2 linked regions of the Drosophila melanogaster genome follow. The protein of the gene in region 1 purifies or fractionates together with the protein of each later gene. This does not show direct contact. Each region holds a gene or a part of one and is shown in the gene's direction. Other genes may lie near its edges.

What was found. The genes of interacting proteins can lie anywhere in the genome.
Region 2: the proteins of E(spl)mgamma-HLH (region 1) and insb purify together in Drosophila melanogaster (affinity purification with western blotting, with the first as the bait; one study listed by BioGRID). This does not show direct contact.

Annotation. Positions count from the first base shown.
Region 1 is NT_033777.3:25,995,938-26,003,093, forward strand, and holds E(spl)mgamma-HLH (enhancer of split mgamma, helix-loop-helix), read left to right. Parts: upstream 1-3,913; 5' UTR 3,914-4,005; coding exon 4,006-4,623; 3' UTR 4,624-4,824; downstream 4,825-7,156. Other genes in the region: CG43116 (uncharacterized protein), read right to left, coding at 237-594, 816-955; E(spl)mdelta-HLH (enhancer of split mdelta, helix-loop-helix), read left to right, coding at 1,795-2,316. UniProt on the Drosophila melanogaster protein: Transcriptional repressor of genes that require a bHLH protein for their transcription. May serve as a transcriptional regulator of the Achaete-scute complex (AS-C) genes. Contributes to the neural-epidermal lineage decision during early neurogenesis.
Region 2 is NT_033778.4:17,474,714-17,479,842, reverse strand, and holds insb (insensible), read left to right. Parts: upstream 1-3,570; 5' UTR 3,571-3,876; coding exon 3,877-4,407; 3' UTR 4,408-4,629; downstream 4,630-5,129. Other genes in the region: veil, read right to left, coding at 1-19.

The DNA of each region.
Region 1 (7,156 bases):
GTCGTCCCAATACCCATATCAAAACATTGCCACTCTGATGATCTCAGAAACCTCCCCCACGAAGAAAACTGGAAACGAAATGTACGAAATCAGTGCCATCAGATGTCAGCAAATGTCGCCGGTGCCTTGCTGCACTGTTTGTTAACTTCTCGATTTCATGGCTGCGATTGCAGCGACCCCTGGTCTTGGATTTGAACTGGAACTCACCCTCGGGCAGGTGGATTTCGTCAATGGCCCTATCCCCGAATACCCAATCTCGCAAAATGCGCCAAACAAGTGTCACAGCTGACCGAGGCCGAGGAACCGGGCAACCGGCAGCAGAAGTGCGGCACAATCCCAATACTTGTGGGAATGTCTCCAGTACACTTTCTCACGATGCACATGCACCGACCGACCCATCGCAGCACCGGCTGTTTGCCGCTTGCCTGGGTGGTGCTATGCTGCCGTCCCGTTGGTGGTGGTGGTTGTTGCGGTGGTTGCTGCTGCTGCTTCTGCTGCTGATGATGGTGCTCCGTGCCCGTAAGTGTAACGCAATGTCGCGCCAAAGAGGAAATGAGGTCTGTGTGACTGTGCGCCAAAAGGGAAGAGGCCACACTGCAAGAAAATTCGAACTCTAAACTAGCAACTTATAAAGATGGCTTATAAAGACTTCGGGATTGCATTGCTTTTAAAGCAAAGTAATGCAAATTATAGTTTAGTTACAGAATTTAATATATTATTTATGCACATTTTGCATATTTCTGAATATTATATTTCAGTTTACAAAACAACATTTTTTCCAGTGCACCTGCACGCATACAAGCAGAAACCCACACCCATATGCAACAATGGCATTGCCTCGACAAGATTGGCTCTTTGGCTTAAGTGAGGACGGCACGCATGGGGCTCGGCTCTCTTTTCTCGAGGGAAGTGGGAACCAGGGAGCACGGATGGCTGCCAGGCAGGTCGAGGTCATGTCGCTGCTGATGTCGTGTGTGCGTGTGGTGCGCTGCTGGTGGTGGTGGTTGATTGCTCCGACTCTTTCCTCCTGCTCTTCCTCGGAGACCCTTCTTCAGACTGTTGCGCCGGCGCACGGCAACAGCACGAGGAAGAGAGACGCCCGAAGAGAGCGCGCTACTAGCTCGGGCGAAGATCCGAAGAACGTGTTATTGGACCCTAGTCAATACACTGAAAATAACTTTAAGGCATTCTACTATTATGACCAAGGTTAAAGAAGCTTTGATTAAAAATAAATTAATTTCTAAATATATAAAAGTTTCTAAAGTACAATAAAACTATTTTTTCTTTGTTTATACTTATCGTTGTAAGATACTTTAGATGCATGAGAAACTTTGGTTTCCAGAATGGACATCCAAAGAGTATGCTTCGAAACTTGTATATTTTAAAAGTAGTTTATATAAAGTATAGATTTTAAAAATTGTTCTCTGCCACATATGGATTGTTTTCAGTGCAAGAAGAGAGCCTCAGCGGCTTCCGCCCGATCCAATTTTTTTGATGTTGCACACGTGCAACGCCGAGGGAATCTTGCCACAAGCAGAGAGTGACCCGATTGATGCTTCGTTGTGATCGTCGGCGTGTAGGAGCGTTGTGATCGCAGTGCGTGGTGGCAGTTAGGGGAGGATTTCGATTTCGCAAGTGTACGGCACCAGCAGCTACAAAAAGGATCAGCTTACCTTGCGGCAAGATCATTTCTCAAGTGACTACCGTGCAGTGCGGAGCGGCAGCAGCGACATCGCAACATCGCAACTTTATTTACAAACAATCACCACACCAAATCAAAACCCATTATACACAATGGCCGTTCAGGGTCAGAGATTTATGACCAAGACTCAGCATTACCGCAAGGTGACCAAACCCCTCCTGGAGCGCAAAAGACGCGCCCGGATGAACCTGTATCTGGACGAACTCAAGGATCTCATCGTGGACACCATGGATGCGCAGGGCGAACAGGTCAGCAAGCTGGAGAAAGCTGACATCTTAGAGCTCACCGTCAACTATCTGAAAGCGCAACAGCAGCAGCGAGTGGCCAATCCTCAATCCCCACCACCCGACCAAGTTAACCTGGACAAATTTCGGGCCGGATACACCCAGGCTGCCTACGAGGTCTCGCACATATTCTCTACGGTTCCCGGCTTGGATCTCAAATTCGGCACCCACCTGATGAAGCAATTGGGTCACCAGCTCAAGGACATGAAACAGGAAGAAGAAATCATCGATATGGCCGAAGAACCAGTTAATCTAGCCGACCAAAAACGTTCAAAGTCTCCGCGAGAAGAGGATATTCATCATGGCGAAGAAGTCTGGCGCCCCTGGTGAAGGGCATTCCATATATACGCAACCAATTAACATTGATAGCTTTACTACTCAGTTTCATTAAGAAACAATCCAAGTTTTCCAAGGTCTAGTGTAAACATTTGCCTCAGAATCGTATTTAGTTGGTAGTTGATTTGATATGATGTGATGTTCCTGTGATAGTTCTTAAGTTCGTATTTTGTATTTGATCTCCCATAGGCTTACTGATTCATGTATTTAATTCATTGTAATTTATTTCATCAACTTTGCAAGAGCTTCCCCACCGAGCTTCCACTTAGCCTCATTAAGAACAAATTTTTGTGTATGTTTTAAAATTATATTTTTCGCTTTACACCATTAAGTATAAGCCATGAACATTTGAATAATAAAATGAACGTAAACTGAAATTTTAAAAGCTTTATATTATTTGGAATATGAACATAAACAAGGTTGCTATAATCCATAGGTACATAGGTACAAAATGTTATAATATATATAATTATTATATTATAATTATAATTTATAAGCTCTTATTTAGCTTTCTTCGATATAAAAGATATATCAGATATATTTAAATATATTTCTAAAATCTAATTTGAAATATATAGAAAATATATATTTTCCTTGGAATTTTAATAATTTATAATTCTAAATACCAAATACCGTTATACTGTCCACTTGAATTCAAGTCAATTGAACTCTCCCCACTCCGTTTACAAATCCCTGTAATGCACCACCCATCCAACCATCCATCCATTACAAAGGTCCTGGAACGCGAGCAACTTACAGCCGAAAGTGTGTCCACAGCGAGCCACACGCGAGCAGCGCTCCAGGATCAGCATCGCTGGCCCCTTTTACATGGCGGATGGAGGGAGAGGCAGAGGTCCTGCCGGGTCGGGGGGATCGGGAAGTCGTACACGCATTAAGCGCACTCGACGCACACGAGCAATGTTCCCACAGGATCATAACAGCCGACCAACAAGTGCAGGATGCCTCTGTCCTTGTCCCTTCCTCTGCCACCAAACACGAACCCGATCCAATTTGGAATGCCAACGGTAAACAGGAAGTTGTCGAGGAATCGCAACGCCTCGTCCTTATCCTTATCCCCATCCCCCGGCGGAGGTCCCCGCTATCGTGGGAACCCCGGAGGACCCCGATGAGATGGCATAATGCAAGCAGTTCATTATCCTTATGCCCCTCACCCTGCCATGCCATAGTCAAATCATAACACACAAATCTAGAAACGGCAGCTGTTCGCTCTGCAAATTCCCATGCCCATGGCCGTGGCCATGCTCGGCTGCTTTTTGCGGGCAGGTGAGCGAGTCGATGTGAGAAACCGAGTAGGAAAGTGTTTCCCACGATCCTGGCAGCGATCCTGCTCCCTGGCCCGTTTGATAAGGGTGCCGGGGCCAACAATAAGAAATCGCCCGAACAATAAGGAGCGGTCTCAAGAAGCGGAAGGGTCGGTACCGAGCAACCCTCATGCCAGCACACGAAGCGTGTCCCCGTCCCTTTTGCTCCTCGAATGCCAGCACACACGACGACGACGACGATCCCTTTGGCCCATTTTTTGGGGGTTGTTTCTGGCCAGCTATATAAGGCCGATCACCGAAGGTCTAGCAACACACAACGACTTCGACTGTCGGAGCAGCAAGAGCTCAAAGAACTCAGCTTACATCGAAACTACAAAAAGAACAATAAGAAACACACAAAATGTCGTCGCTACAAATGTCCGAGATGTCCAAGACCTATCAGTACCGCAAGGTGATGAAGCCCATGCTGGAGAGGAAGCGTCGTGCCAGAATCAACAAGTGCCTGGACGAGCTAAAGGATCTTATGGTTGCCACCTTGGAGTCCGAGGGCGAGCACGTCACCCGTTTGGAGAAAGCCGATATCCTGGAACTTACCGTCACCCATTTGCAAAAGATGAAGCAGCAGCGTCAGCACAAGCGGGCTTCCGGCGATGAGAGCTTGACTCCGGCGGAGGGCTTCCGTTCCGGCTACATCCATGCCGTCAATGAGGTCTCCCGTTCACTCTCCCAGCTGCCCGGCATGAATGTCAGCCTAGGCACTCAGCTAATGACCCACCTGGGACAGCGCCTCAATCAGATCCAGCCAGCAGAAAAGGAAGTCTTGCCGGTGACCGCTCCACTCTCCGTGCACATCGCCAATCGGGATGCCTACTCCGTGCCCATTTCGCCAATCTCCAGCTACGCCGGCAGTCCCAACTCCAATACCAGTTCGACCAGCCATTCCCTGTTGACCACCATCGATGTGACCAAGATGGAGGACGACAGCGAGGACGAGGAGAACGTCTGGCGTCCCTGGTAGATAGGATTACTTCACACCACAACTGAAAAAAAAAAAAACGAAGGAGAGATCATAGAAAGTAAAAGTCTTCCGAGTCACTGGATTTCCACCAGTCGACTCCCACCTAGTTATAAGTAAACACCATAAACACACAAAGCTTTAGATGAGGACGCGCAGTTCATGTGATAACTAAATAAATAATAAATTATATAGCTAAAATTGAAAGATCACGACTTTTTCTGCCACTATCTAGTGACTCACATGCAAATTGCTCAGACACTCCCATGTCCAGACAGTTTCCAATTGTCTGCGGTCTAGAACGGAAACGCTAGAAACGCAATAGCACCTCTCTCTGTCCCCTGTAACTATTCGATCGCCCCACGGATGCACATACACGATCGTCGGACAAAAGAAAGCGAAAACAATGCCAAGGCCGAAACAAGAAGAATTAGGCAGAAGAACGAGAGAAGAAAGAAGTCCAAAGTCCAAAGCCGGGGCTACCGATACCGGGACATAGCCTATAGGCCAGTTGGTGGTTGCAACTCCAACACGTGTGCGGACAATAAGCGAAGGTAACAGAAAATATTAGAGTCTTATCTTTGAGCGTATCTAATCGAGTTACGACAATGTCGCTCAGACTTAGAAGAAAACAAATGGGCATAGAGCCGGCAAGGAACCCGAAAAAAAAACCGAAAACCAAAAAAGGGATCGAGTCATCATTCATCCCGCATCCGTCCTGATTTCGCTTTGTTCTCCTCAATTTTTTGTTGCCGTGATTCTCCCTGGCCACTCGGATAGAAAATCGTGTGCACAATGGTCAAGGTAAGCTATGGGCACATAATTGCTTCGGATCAGGTAAATGACTGCCTTGCCCTAGGGCAACTTTAAGATGGAGGAGCTCCAGCCGGGGACAGGATATCGGTTTTTTTGTTGTTTCTTTTTTATGGGCTCTGCCCGAGCCTTTTTTGATTTTCGTTTTTTTTTTCTGATCTGGCTGACCCAGCATCATTTGGTTATCTGTGTGCCAAGACCAGTAGCCGATTCACAGACGCCTCTGTCTTAAAAATCGACGCAGGGCAGATCGAGGGAATAGTCAACGAGATCGGTATCAGGATTGGCTTGGGACTAGTCTGTGCTGGCGGGGTGTAATAAATTTAAAAAGGAACTAAATTTATAGAGATTTTTCAGCTGATTAAAATTCTGTTAACTTGCTAAAGCCGAAAGTAGATTATCTTTAAGAAGATCTTCTTCACAACAGCCCTAAGTGTTTATACTTAATTTTACATTTCCGTCCTTTTTGTTTTCTTGTGTGCCAGCAATTATTTATGGAAATTAATAAGATTTATAGCTTATGGTTACTAGCTTATAAATAACTAAAAAAAAACGTTTATAATTTTTTAAATTGTTTAAATCCTTCTGAGATATCCTTTGTAGATAATACGCTAAAAATATTTGTATTTCACTTGCAAATTCTGTGTAATCTTAAACCCTATAATGTACTGAACAAGATCATTTCCTTCAATGTTTGGATGTCACTTCCACCCTGGGATAACATAAAGTGTAATAATGGACACTCCTTAAGAGCCATGTTAAATTATAGCTCACTTTCGATCCTAGGCCATTCCTGGATGATCCGATCAAGGCGACACAACTATGGACTCGACAATAAGAGGACCAACACCAATCCAAACCAAACCAAGCAAGCCCAGTTGTCATACCATACAATGGGCAATAAGAAAAAGTCGGTTATAGGGACATGCGGAGGAATCGCACCCAAAATGCCAAAAGGAAATGCTGGCACAAAAGATACTTAATCTTATAGGTAAACCCGATGAATGATGAACGAATGGCGGCGACGTAACCGAACCCCCGATACAGCAATCCGGCAATCCGGCGATCGAGCTCGAACGCAAGCCCAAGTCATTAAAAACTACAATACACAAACTGCATACGAATCACTCGAAGACCGAGGCCCAAAGAAAGGGTCTTATTTTTTAGGTAGGGGAAGGGACTGAAGACTGAAGACCGGGGACCGTGGCCAGAAAAAAAAAACTAAATATCAGAAGCGAAGATCGTGAGAAAATGGTTTGGAACGTGGTTCTCACACGATCGACACACCTGCCCTTTTTTGTATGTGTGTGTGTGTGTCTGGCTGGGCCACCACTCAATGCGTGTGTGTGTGTGTACTTTTACGAATTCAAGATACAAGACCACTTACGGGCAAGATCACGACCGACTCGAGCTGCGGCTATATGGCTATGGATCGACATGAAAGAGAAAAGCAGCGTGCGGTAAGTGTGTCTCAGTCGCAGACTCAGCTCAGCTTCAGCTTCAGCTTCGACTTTTGTGCATTGGCCAACATTGTAATGACTGTGGACACACGATCGTTAAGAGCGCGCCGTGTGATCTGTGAAGGAAAAGGGGTACGAGGTGTTTCAGGGGCTACAACTATGGGTTCGGGGTTCGGCGCATGCGTCGCTGTTTTGTTGAACGAACTCAATTTAGTTGGTTTATGACCAAAAAGCGAGAGCGAGCGGGATGCACGAGGAGATCG
Region 2 (5,129 bases), on another chromosome or scaffold:
GACCACGGGCAGGTAACATTTTGGTGCTGGAACAATAAACACAACAATCGCTGATAAGTTATCACACACGAAGGGATGAAATGTGGGTGGATAATCTTCGGTGAATAAGCACTGATTCGCGCACGGCAACTGGTTTGTCATAATCATTGTTTTTGCACTCATGAAAATCTAAAAATTTTAATAAAAAATTAATGCACTGCCACTTAATGAAGCGTGTTTTAAGTATTAGTTCGTTTTCTTATCCGAATGGTTTTACACATGTAATGGAAACACTTCAAACGTTGTTAACCAGATTTTCTACTTAGACTGTTGAAGGTCCTTTTCGACCTTATCACCAATCCACTGCTGAGAGGCAAATATTTATCAATCACGAGCGCGCAGAAATCGCAATTTATAGTTTATTGGGTGTTTTAAATCTAATCGCCGCTTATCACTTTGCGTGTGCAAAAAAAAAACACACAAATCCCCAGCACATTCTGCTCGACAAATTTCTGCCATCGCGGTCCACTTCACTCGGTCAACTGGTTTTCGATTGAACTCGGAAACGAGCTCGAACTTCAGCTTGCTCATGGCATTGGCCTAAAAGCTAACTCGGCTCAAAAAGGCCCGATCGATGTTACTTCAGAAGCAACGAATTACCAAATACCAACGATCGCTACTCACATGCACTCGTCGCACGGTCCGCGGGCTAACTGACTGACCCACCAAATTGGCTGAGAGTGCGAGAACCGTTATTAGCCGAAAACATAAAGCCGAGTACCTTAAACAGCAAAACCGAAATTTACTGCCTCGCGAAGCGGACTGATTACGATAAGGCCTCGTATTGCGATTGCGGGTTAAATTGGCTGAGAATGACAATGCGATGCTCTTTCTGCATTACCCCATTGTATTTCGATGTTTTGGAAGCCATCGGAAGCAGACATATCGCGCGATAATCGTCGGTTATAGATCAGATAATGGTGAATTGGCTATATATTTATCTGACTCATAGCCACTCAGACAGAGGCAGGTAGTTGGCCCAACAGTTGTCTAAACACAACGTGACATTCCCACGCCGAAATATGGATTGTACTAAAAAATATATACAGTGCACGCTCGCTACGGAGAATTTACATTCGGCGTAACTCTAGCATCAAACAGCATTTACTTGTAAGTGATCTAAACACATGAATCAAAGATCACGCATTCGAAAGGATATTTTTGGAATATCTATATCTGTAATTAATATTTGCACTTTTGTTTCATAGTAAAACATTTTCACTGTCACGAAATTATATGCAACATGGTTGCTTACCTATATTTAGAGTATTTACTGTACATGTTTATTGACGCACCATTAACAACAGTCCGCCGATTGTGCCGAGTAAGCCGATCTTTGTTATTAATTTCCCGAAAATTCCAAGCAAGTGTCTTCTGCGAACTTTCAGGCACATTCGATTGATGAACAATGAGGCCTGCTTGTTGCACAGATTTATGGCCGCCAAAATGGAAGGATAGATAAATATTGGAAAGATGAATTTCACTCAACAGCCGCGTAAATTACTTTATGAGTTTACTGCGAAGTTCTACCCACACGAAATGATCACAATTGCCGGGTTTTGGGCCACAGTTCATCCCCAAATTATCCGCTGCCACTTGTCGCGTGCTTCTCAAACTGTTCAATCATATAGTATGTATAATGGCTCAATAGACACACGACAGCTGCGGCTGTGGATAATGTATTTGCTATTTACTATTTGCTGCCTGTGTTCGGGCAAATAACTCAAAAACGAAAGGGAAAGGTACAACTTTCCTGCTCGAGATGTCGCCTAAATATATCCGAAAGATACAAGATACAACAGCAATTGAGTTGGTTCGAAAATAAATAGAAGATGCTTCGGCCAAGTTTAACTGAAATGGGGAGAGGAAAACCAGCACGCAATATTACACAATGTCAAGTGTACGATAAAAATGAGATAAAAATAATATATATGATTCAATTTTGATACGCCCTTAACAACATCAAGTGCTTATCAAGTAAATAATGTGTACACACACCATTGCCGACATACTAAATGCAAATATCCAATCCATCCATATCATAAGTTCACAGACTTGACGTCTGGGCGTGATTATTTAAATGCCCCTTCCGAAATTGCGAAACAACAATTCGCTGAGATAGTGTCAAATTCGCAGCCCCAAATAAATCGAATAATGCCCAATTTCCTTGACCATAAATAAACATTTATTGCTATCAATGAGATTGTTTCTTTTTTTTTTTCTTGGGACAGGAGATTCTTCATTTATGGTGTCATCTTATATTTCAGCACTCCCCCCTTCCCCCTTCCAACAAACCCAAAATATAAATCCCTTTATTTTAAATTATGGTCATGATTACACAATGCGCGGACATAAACCATAAAGCGAATTATGTTCATTCCAAATTTTGACAGCATTATCGATTAGCATTTTGGGACCACTCCACCTTTACTACGTTAACAATCGGCAATAAAGCCGATAAGAATTGGTTCTCCATGCCAACGGAGGTAAACGTGATTTCGTTCAAACTAACTCATACCGCATACCAATTTCCATGACAACGAAATTCGAAAATTTCTCGCAGTGCTTTTAGGTGTGCACTTATCATTGCAGTGGCAGGTCAAACTAACTCGCAGGGGAAGTGCCGATCGAAGAGATGAATGTGAAGCGTGCCAGCTGCAAATGCTTATCATGGTCGGGCATACCGCACTGGGGAATCTCCTACAAATATGCACATTAAACGAATTTTGTATGCAAATACGAAAATCTATATTCGTAAAGAAGCATCGTGATCAAAGTTCAAGTGATCAAAGTTCACAAACAAAATTTTAGGTAGCTTATTGGTAGAATACAATGCTTAACGGATACGTTAAATATTACCTAAATAGCTTAACTGTCTAACCTGAATAACTTATTCTTTAAGTGCGTCAGCAGTGCACGTTTTGCCAAGAAAAGCAATTTAAGCAATTACATATATCGGTCGTTGTTCGCTAAAACCAGATCGAAACTCATTTGAAATCAACTGAATTAAAAGTCCAGATTCGTTTATTTGTAGCAATTAAGTTAATTCGTCATTAAATTGACAACTTATACATTCAAAAAAAATTCATGAAAATTTATACGCTCAAAACTTGATTACCCAAGATTGTAAGGTATTGATAATTTATTTATGTCTGCTTTAAAATGTAAAAAAAAGAAAATTTGATTAAAATGCTTTATTTTCGCACACACCCTTCAATGCAACCCTATTAAAAAAAAGGACATAGGAAGGTAACTTGGGAATCGGCTATGCCGCACCGAAAGGAAACGGACACGGGACAACAACAACTGAAAGGTCGGAAAGGACGAGCAGGGCGCGCCTGTGATCCCGGGGGGATGGGGTGCAGGACGGATGCACGGAGGAAGGGAGGATATTCGGAGCGCGGCTGCTGCAGCGGCAGAGAAAGAGAGAGAGAGAGAGAGATAGAGAGAGAGAGAGAGAGAGGTAGAGAGAGAGGCAGCGCCAGCTGAGGGTTGCAATATCCTGCTGCTGCCGTTCAGGCTGTGGCCTGTAGCCAGTATCCTGTTGCCCTCCCGCTTCAGCTGCCGCAACTCAAACAGCTGCAACAATTTTTTTTTTTTTGGTTGCCGATGGATTGTTGTTTTTAATTTCCTTGGCGCGGCACATCCCCTAATGCCACTATCTCTGGTCCCTGCCGCATTTTGGGGTTGGAGTCGGCAGTTGCCAGTTGGTCGCCGGGGTGCAGTTGGTCGCAGCTCAGTCGTGGCGATCGCCAGGTGAACGAAGGTTGTGTCGCGCAGGAGCGAGTTGGAAAACCAAACGATTGCAGCTTAAGTCTAGTAGATCATCCTCTAAGCATGTCGGGCAAACTGATCATGAAGCGCAAGCGAGCCAGCCAGGAGGAGCAGCAGCAGGCGCAGGAGCAACGTGTCCAGCCGCAGGAACAGCAACAGGAGCAGCAACCGACTGAAGCGGTTCCGGAGAAACGCCATCGTCCTCTAACTCCACCAGCAGAAGAGCCAGGGCAGAATTGCCCCAACCCGCCAGATGCCCCCAATCGAATCCTTCTGGAAGCGCTGCAAAAAATAATGGAGCTGCAAGCGGAGCTGGATGCCTTTGAGCAGGATCTAAACGATCGAGATGGCTATGCGGCTGCCGGAGCTGAAGCGGAGGATGTTGAGGAAAGTGACGAGGATGCCGAGGTGGCGGCCCAGTTTGCGCCACCGACGCCAGCCCAAAGGAGTCAGGCGGAGGCACTGGGTTTTGCCATGTGTGCCAGAGAAACATTGCTGTTTCTGCAGAGCGAGGGAATACCCACGGAGTCGCCACTCTACCAGACTCTCCTTGGGAAATTGGTTGGGCAAAGCGATGGACTTCTGCACGCCTGAGAGCAAACCGGAGGGCAGGAACTCCTCCTCATTCTAGTCACTTTGCTGCGATCTCATTGCAAGTAAAACGAGAGAGAGAAACCAAGGGTTGCGAACTTTCCGGGGGTGGAAATTATGCAACACAGGGATCTGGGTATTCCTAAGCTATTTACTCTAGTCAATTATTGTAAAGCAATATAAAACACATAAGCAACAACGAAATAAATTATGTATATTGAAAGTAAAACATAAAGGAAGAGGTTTTAATTAAGATTGGGGGGTTCCATCCTAGCTGGGAATAAAAAAACACTCTACTACATCGATTTTCGATACATTTTAAATATATTTATTTATTCATTTAGTTATTACTTGTGTTATTTAATTTTACATATAATAATTAATGAGAATAACTCAATCGCCATATATTATTTCTTTGAATTCATTTTGTAGGTATGTATATCATATAAGTGTATATATTCTTATTGTTGTTAGGGCGGGGTGTTTTTGTTGTTCGGTTATTTCATTAACTTGGTATCATAAATTATCTGGGGGCTTGGGGAATCGCCCTAAAGTAGCATTTGTTATAATTTCATATTAGTTATCTGTATAATTTGTAACAACGATAATTATTTGTAATAAATGGTTGTAATTCCTTTGTATTATCTGTATTACTGATATTTCATTAAAACTAGATTTTAATTGTTTTTAACAATTTAACGTTTCACATGGTTGTATGTAAGTAA